2 linked regions of the Rattus norvegicus genome follow. The protein of the gene in region 1 binds, or shares a complex with, the protein of each later gene. Links are inferred from orthologs where the notes say so. Each region holds a gene or a part of one and is shown on either strand. Other genes may lie near its edges. The genes, in order: Gipc1 and Plxnd1.

Region 1 (4,309 bases):
ATAGCCCAGTGCACATGTAAAGGTCAGACGACAGCTTGCAAGAGTGCGCACTCTCCCTTCATTGGGCCCAGGTGATTAAACTCAGGCCTGCAGGGGTGATGGCCATCTTGCCAGCCCTCCACCTTGCGTTTTGAGACAGGATTTCTCACTGGCCTGAGCTCACTAGGTAGGCTAGGTGGGCTTTGAGCCTTGGGGGTCCTTCTCTCTCCAGCTCTGTAAGATGCTCTTACAAGGGCATCTTTCCTCATGGTTTTTTGTTTGTTTGTTTGTTTGTTTTTTTCTTTTACATAAACCAGACCCAAACTTGGGTTTTGCACAGAGCATTAATGACTGCAACTGATAGAAAATGAAAAGACACTGTGTCTGGTGGTTTCCATCTGCTCCAACACTGCAAGATGAACAGAGGTAGAGTTGGTGAGTTCTAGGCCAGCCTGGACGACAGAGTGAGAGCCTTCTCAGAGAAATGGAAAGTAAAGGGCCATCCAGCATTTTATCTTCCCTTCAGTTGTCTGCTCCAGTGGGTGTGGTCAGGGCAGGATGCACCAACGGCCTCATGCCTCATCCAGAAGGAGAATTGAACGAGGTCACAGAGCAGCGGGTGTGGGGTTGTAATGGGTATCTCTGTGGGGATTATTACTGTGCAGTGCGAGGCTTCATTCTGATGCTGGGATGAGACCGGGTCCTCATTAGCACGTGCTCCACCACTGAGCTGCACCCCAGCATCGGAGCTATCTGGAGTCACCTCTCTTCGTTCACATCAGCTCTGGGTGCCCAGATTGAATCCACTGTATACAGAAAATACTTGGGTGAGGCAGATGTCCTGCTATTTCCCTGTAATCCCATCCACTCTGCAGTCTGAAGCAGGAGGATTGCAAGTTCAAGGACAGCTGAGCAACTGAGAGATAACTGCCTCACACTAAAAAGTAAGAGGCAGTCTAGACTTGTAGCTTGGGTCCACATGCACAAGGCCAAAATGGCCGATTCGGAGAGAGCCTTGTACCTATGCTGACCATGGACAGAATCTTGTGTTGTTACTCTTCAGACAATACAGCGGAAGAAGAGTTTGCATAGCTTTAAATGTGTACAGCAGATTCCACTGTACGGGAGGAGCTGCAGCTCTGTGGACAAGCGCCAGCCAAGCAGGGGCGATGAAAGCCTCAGCAGAACGCAAACGCAACACAACGTTATATAGGCCGCAATGTGCTGGAGGTGTCCTGGCTCCCTGTGCTTGGGAGCCTGAGTCACGTGATCAGACACGGTGGGGTTCGGTGGTGGAGCACTTGACTAGCACCAGGCCCCTGGGTTAAGAAACATTGCTTCGCAAAATAGAACCATGTTGGTTGATGTCGATACCATGTGGTGGTGATGGATGGCACCCAAGGCTGGTACTCAGAGAGTGAAGCCCGATTCCCTTTCGCAGGTCTCCCGGCCAAGTCCCCACTTCTGGCTGCTCATGCCACTGGGACTGGGGCGAAGGAAAAAAGCACCACCTCTGGTGGAAAATGAGGAGGCGGAGCCAAGCCGGAGTGGGCTGGGCGTCGGGGAGCCCGGGCCCCTGGGTGGAAGTGGAGCAGGGGAATCCCAGATGGGTTTGCCCCCACCTCCTGCTTCCCTCCGGCCTCGCCTCGTGTTCCATACCCAGCTGGCCCACGGCAGCCCCACGGGCCGCATCGAGGGCTTCACTAATGTCAAGGAGCTGTACGGCAAGATCGCTGAGGCCTTCCGACTACCGGCTGCTGAGGTACCAGTGGGACCACGGTCCCTTAAGAGCAAGCCACAGGCCTGGGCATGTATTCCTGTGAGCTGGGGCTCGTGTTCCTTGCTGGCCAGCAGCCCCTGAACCTAGGAGGCGTGGCTACAGGAGGATACTGAGTTCCTATGAGGCCTTGAGAGACTTGTACCCTAGTAGGTATGGGGGGGGTTTCCCAACGGGCCTTACGAGGCTCGTAATCTAGTAAATTGTGGGTCTGCAGATACTGATTTCCCATCAGGTCTGAAGTAGCCTGTGTCCTGGAGGATGACAGCCACAGGTGGCAGCTGGGTTTCCAAGGCATTGGGAAGCTTGTGCCCCAAATACTGTGGGACCTCAAGAGGGGGAGGGAGGGTGTTAGGAGCAGCTTCTATTTCTCCAGGGTGCCCTGGAGGCATGACTCCAAGCTAGAAGCTGAGAAGCCACTGGGAGGGCAACAGTGGGACTGAGATTCAAGTGGAGATGGGTAGGAAGGCTGGGTGGGAGTCTAGACCCCCTTCACCCCTCAGTAAGTATCGAGTGATCTCTGTATGTCAAGCTAGCTCTTGAGCTTTTACCAGGACAGAAATCCTGCTCATAGCATTTGATGTGCCAGTGGACCTCTCCTTGGCTTTGGGTGTTACCAGTCCCTGGGATAGGGGACCCAGGGAGGAAGGATGAGCATCTTGCCCCACCTCTGCAGGTGATGTTCTGTACCCTCAACACCCATAAAGTGGATATGGACAAGCTGCTGGGGGGCCAGATCGGGCTGGAGGACTTCATCTTTGCCCATGTCAAGGGGCAGCGCAAAGAGGTGGAAGTATTCAAGTCTGAGGATGCTCTGGGGCTCACCATCACCGACAACGGGGCCGGCTATGCCTTCATTAAGGTGCCCGGGTGGGTGGCACACCCTTAGTCAGTGGCCAGGGTCTTTAATGGGACCTAGAGTGGAGCTTCCAGGGTTGATGCCTGCCCCTCCACAGCGCATCAAGGAAGGCAGTGTGATTGACCACATCCAGCTCATCAGCGTGGGTGACATGATTGAAGCCATCAACGGGCAGAGCCTGCTGGGCTGTCGGCATTATGAGGTTGCCAGGCTCCTCAAAGAGCTGCCCCGAGGCCGCACCTTCACCCTCAAACTCACCGAACCTCGGAAGGCGTTTGGTGAGCCATTCTTGCAACCTGGACCACCCACCGGGCTGACCTTGAGCTCTTAAGAAATACAGATTGTAGTCCTGGGAACCACCAGCAGGTGGCACTCAAGCCTGCAGTGCAGAGTGGGGGCAGCCCCACCCTACCCTAGAACTGAGTGCTGGCTGACAGCCCAGCCAGAAGGAAGTCGCCCCCACACCCGACTTCCAGGAGCCATTAGCCCAGCCGAGTGCCCCCAACCCTGGCCAGCCCCCTCAGCCTGGAGAAGTGAGGCTTGGCTGCCTTGTATGGCTCCTGTGCCCGGCGCCCCCCCCCCCCCCCCGTTTCTACCTGGCTTCACTAACTCTCAGGAATGGGCCTGAGGCACCCCTGATGTGGGTAGAAAGGGCTTATCTGAGACTCAGCAGTTACACTCACCCTTCTCAACCCTCACTCCTTCAAATAGAAGCTACCTTCCATTCTCTCTCCAGCTGCTTTTATGTCTGGCCCCTAGCTGCCCCTCACCATCCATGCAAAGTCCTGCCTTGCTGGAACCCAGTCCCTACCCAAGGAGCCTGCAGAACTTTGAAGGTGGTGGGAGGTGGTTGTGTGAAGCCTGCGTACTGTGTTACCGTGGGCTGATTTTCCCCACTACCTTTGCCTTCTACAGATATGATCAGCCAGCGTTCATCAGGTGGTCACCCTGGCTCAGGCCCACAACTGGGCACTGGCCGAGGGACCCTCCGGCTCCGATCCCGGGGCCCTGCCACAGTGGAGGATCTGGTGAGTGAGCCCCCCGGGCCGGTGACACCATTCTAATTATGTGAAAGGCTCAGGACACCTCTCTCTGCCTAAGCCTACTCTTACCAGCTCTGGGACCTACGGTGGTCCATCGGGCAGCCTGGGGTCTCCTCCCTGTCCAGTAGGTTCAGTGACTTCTTGTCAGAGCAGACATTAGCGATGTAAACAAAAAGGGCTGCCAGCACGGAATTTCTGGCAGGAGGATTTCACATTCGCTCAAACCGTAAGACCTTGTCACCAGGTTCTTATATGAAAATAGATGAAAGGCAGCCCAGTGTAGATACGTACCCATAATCCTCTCCAGGCTACTGGATAGGAGTTAAGTGTTCAAAGCCAGTTTGGGCAACTTAGAATATGTCTGGGTATGAGAATGGTAATTTCTGGATGTTGGGACTGAAGAGATGGGCTTAGCAGTTTATAGGAGGTGTGGCTCTTGCAGACCACACAGGTCAGTTCCAAGTGCCCATGACGGGTGGCCATCTCTTAACTCCAGTCCAGAGGTCCAGTGTTCTCTTCTGACCTCCACAGACACCAGGCAGACACATAGGACACACAGATATGTGCAGACAAAAGGATCCTCTACATTAAATAAGTAACAGCGGCAGCCACACCAGTGGGTGCATGCAGCTCACCACTGGAGCTGATGCC
Region 2 (3,805 bases), on another chromosome or scaffold:
TCTCTGCTGTGTCTGGCCAGGAGGAATGATGTGACCAGGTATGTGTCTGTGCTGTATTGCTCAGGCTGGGTTGAAATTCCCAGGGTCAGGTGACTCTCCTGTCTCAGCTTCCTCAGTGTCTGGGCCTAAAAGTGTGTACCCCTGTACGTTTAGTCTCTTAAAAGCCAAACTGGGGGCTGGGGATTTAGCTCAGTGGTAGAGCGCTTACCTAGGAAGCGCAAGGCCCTGGGTTCGATCCCCAGCTCCGAAAAAAAAAAAAAAAGAACCAAAAAAAAAAAAAAAAAAAAAAAAAGCCAAACTGGCCAGACCCTTGGCCAGCATGTCTTGCCTTCCTTCCTCCCTTCATCCCTTTCTCCCTCCCTCCATCCCCCCCCCACACCCAGTCTTGTCCCCATACATCTTAAACACCAGCCATCTCCTAGGAGTAGCTGTGTCATCCAAGGTCAAGGCTTGACCCGAGTAGCATCTGGAGATCTATTTAGCCGGGCCTCCGCTGGGAGCAGGGGTGTTCAAGCAGGGTCTGAGAGCTGAGATCCGCCTGTGTGGACAGGCAGGGAGCCAGAGAAGGTTCTAGAGCTGCCTTGTCCCCACAGCTGCAGCCGGAGCAGCTGGACTGTGGAGCAGCCCACCTTCAGCACCCACTGACCATCCTGCAGCCACTGAGGGCATCGCCGGTGTTCCGTGCTCCAGGGCTCACGGCCGTGGCTGTGGCCAATGCTAACAACTACACAGCTGTCTTTCTGGGCACTGCCACGGGGAGGCTCCTCAAGGTAAGCATGCGGGACTGGAGCTCCCTGGGGTGGGCCACAGAGGGCCAGAGTCACTCTGCCTTCTTCAGTTTTCCCTCTAGGCCTCCCCAGTGGCTTGTGACGAGGGAAGGAAGTGGCCTGAGTGATGTCTGCCTCTGCTTTCGGCATCTCCCAGCCTGGGGCTCCGCAGACAGCGTCTTCACCTTTGCTGTGTACTTGCTCCCTCAGGGCCTCTGTTTCCCTTCTGGCTGCAGTTGTTGGGGGACTTCAATGAGGGACACAACAGCCCTGCTGGCTATCACCTCAGGGGTCCAGTGTTTGGATTAACCATGAGGTCTATCACCTTGCAAGTCCCAGAGCTAAGGGAGGGCAAGGAGCTTCTCCTCTTACCTCAGAGCAGACTGAACACCCCTGTCCACCACCTCTCCACTTCTCTGTGGGGAAAGTCAGTCTTCCAGCCAGGCCCAGCCTAATTGACTCAAGAGTCCATAATTTAATTCCCTTTGGCAGCTGCCTGGGTCGGGGTGGGGTGGGGCTTGGGCCCCACAGGTCTGGAACTACCTGTGGTGCCTAGGGAGAGCACAGGGCCCCACGCCTGCCTGCCGGTTACTCAGCTTCAGCTCACCAGGGTTCGGCTGTGTGGTCAGATGACTGGTTTCTGCCTTTAAGTGTTACTACTCGACGACGTGTGACCTGAGGACATAGCTTGTCTCCCTGTCCAGTGAGGGAATGAGCAGAGCAGCACTGTGGTCAGAGCCCTCTCCCCTTCTACCCATAAAGTTGCAGCCATTAGGCACCTACTGTTTACACAGTGTCTCAGGGTACTTCACAGGCTTCACCTAGTTCTTTAGCTCTCACATCAAGCCAAGGATTCTATTCCACAGAAGCAGGCCGCCGAGGTCCTCTGTGAGAGGCGACTACCCCCAGAGTGACCAGATAGCTAGAAATGGGGTCGTTGCTTTTCACCTTCAGTTGATTTCTGTGTGCCATGCTTGGGGTCGAATACAGGGCCTTAGCGATGAGCAGGTTGGTGTCTCTCCTGCCAGCCCTCTCTCTATTTGGAACGTCTATCTTAACCCTCAGCTGGGGCCCCAGGACTCAGTGGACACTGAGGAAGTGGATATGACTTGGCATCTGTTTGGCGTCTGGGGTAGGCGGGTGTAGTGTGAGCCCCTGCTAGCATCCCAAGAGGCTTCCTGGCAACATCTCAGAGGGCAAGCCTGAGCCAGGAAGGACTTGGGGAGGGCACAGCGTTGACCTGGTACACCCCAGAATAAAAAGGATAGTGGTACTGTCAGGAAGATGTGTATCAAACGTGAGGCAGGCCTGGATGGGCAAGGCGTGTAATGTATAGACAGTGGGAGTAAAGTGAGAGCGAGGTAGGGGTGTGGCTAGAGGTGTGGCTAGGGGTGTGGCTAGGTAGATCATCAAGGCATCGAATGCCACAGCCAGTTTCTTCTGGTAGGGAACCTCTGCAGGTTTTAGAAACCCAGAGGAAGGTGAGTGGGCGGCCTCAAAGGTGTTTAGACCGCCAACTTTTATCCCCTGATTAACATCTTGGATACTTGGACACCCAGCCTGCGGAGACAGAGGAGAACACAGACCTTGGAGAGCCACGCAGAGGGGCCTGGGCCCTTGCCCAGGACTGCTGCTTGCCATCTCTCTTATCCCCACAGTTCTGCGGGACTATGCTCATCCTGACTCTTATTTACTAGGGAAACTGAGGCTCAGGGTGGGAAACAACTCATTTGGATTGTACATGAGTGCATGTCAGAAACAGAATCCAAGCCTTGCTAGTAGCCATGACAACCAGCAGCCTCCCAGAGAATGAATGGCTTGGCTACAGCCCACACAGATACCTGGGGGAAATGTTGGAGTCAAGCAGGAACGGAGTTCCTGGTGGGGGCGCTGTTGAGTCAGTGAGAATGAGAGTAAGTCCACCTAGGAGCCCCGTTTTCCCTTTCACCCTGGACCATCTGAGCAGGATGGGAGAGGAGACCCCAATCCTGGAGCAGCCTGACCTTGTGGGTGGCAGTCCTGGGCACCAGTAGGTGATGGCCTTTCCTTCTACAGATCAGCCTGAATGAGAGCATGCAGGTAGTAAGCCGGCGGGTGCTGACTGTGGCCTACGGGGAGCCCGTGCACCATGTCATGCAGTTTGACCCCATGGATCCTGGTTACCTGTACCTGATGACATCCCACCAGGTAAGGAACTGTGGCCAGCCATCGTTTGCACATGCTGACCCTCCTTCCCCACCTCCGTCTTTGCTGACTCATGTCTGGGACGTGATGCTTCAAGGCTACGTTTTCCCCACATACCCTCCAGACCTAGCTACCCTAGCCTTACAAGAGAGGGTGGCACCCTTGCTCAGCTGGGCTCCCTCTGCCTGCAGATGGCCCGAGTGAAGGTGGCGGCGTGTGAGGTACACTCCACCTGCGGGGACTGTGTGGGCGCGGCCGATGCCTACTGTGGCTGGTGTACTCTGGAGACCCGGTGAGGCCCTAAGGTGATGGCAGGGCAGGGAGGGCCAGTGGGTAGTGGCCCTGGCCTAGGACCTAACCCCATGGTGCCTGCAGGTGCACATTCAAGCAGGATTGTGCCAACTCCAGCCTGCCACATTTCTGGACCAGTGCCAGTGAGGGCCCCAGCCGCTGCCCTGCCATGACAGTACTGCCGTCTGAGATTGATGTGCACCGGGACTACACGGTGAGTGCAGCCACACCAGCATAAAGCCTGGGGGCCACAGCAGAGGCCAGGCACCATCTCCATGGCTGGGCCACTTCTTCAACATTCTGCCATGGACTCTTGCGGGACTAGTCAACAGTTAGGACCATGCAACCTGAGTACTTAGCAGTGCACAGAGGACTGCTGGCATTTAAGGGGCAGTCTCTGAATGTACTGACTGGAGACACCCAGATAGAGAACACACCCTTCTTGTCTTCCTCCTGGGAGTGTTAGCGGCCATCACTTAGCCCTGATACGGGACAGACAGGGGTGGTGGCTAGTGTCAGGAGAACCATGCCTGCCCGCAGCATGGTGGGTGGCCCAGCAGCCT

The links.
Region 2: the proteins of Gipc1 (region 1) and Plxnd1 are in contact, whole or in part, in a crystal structure (PDB 5V6T), measured with the Mus musculus proteins. The link is inferred for Rattus norvegicus from reciprocal best matches to the Homo sapiens genes GIPC1 and PLXND1. Residues at the interface, in NP_061241.1 of Mus musculus: His61, Glu141, Ala142, Leu143, Gly144, Leu145, Thr146, Ile147, Thr148, Asp149, Asn150, Gly151, Phe156, Lys158, Arg159, Arg190, His191, Tyr192, Glu193, Ala195, Arg196, Leu198, Lys199; in NP_080652.2 of Mus musculus: Glu1400, Met1889, Glu1893, Arg1899, Gln1902, Gln1904, His1905, Glu1908, Ile1918, Tyr1919, Cys1921, Tyr1922, Ser1923, Glu1924, Ala1925.

The regions. Positions count from the first base shown.
Region 1 is NC_086037.1:41,381,049-41,385,357, reverse strand, and holds the start of Gipc1 (PDZ domain-containing protein GIPC1), read left to right. Parts: upstream 1-1,415; 5' UTR 1,416-1,453; coding exon 1,454-1,741; intron 1,742-2,432; coding exon 2,433-2,618; intron 2,619-2,712; coding exon 2,713-2,893; intron 2,894-3,530; coding exon 3,531-3,643; intron 3,644-4,309. UniProt on the Homo sapiens protein: May be involved in G protein-linked signaling.
Region 2 is NC_086022.1:150,698,130-150,701,934, reverse strand, and holds part of Plxnd1 (plexin-D1), read left to right. Parts: intron 1-593; coding exon 594-770; intron 771-2,822; coding exon 2,823-2,954; intron 2,955-3,142; coding exon 3,143-3,243; intron 3,244-3,326; coding exon 3,327-3,456; intron 3,457-3,805. UniProt on the Homo sapiens protein: Cell surface receptor for SEMA4A and for class 3 semaphorins, such as SEMA3A, SEMA3C and SEMA3E. Plays an important role in cell-cell signaling, and in regulating the migration of a wide spectrum of cell types.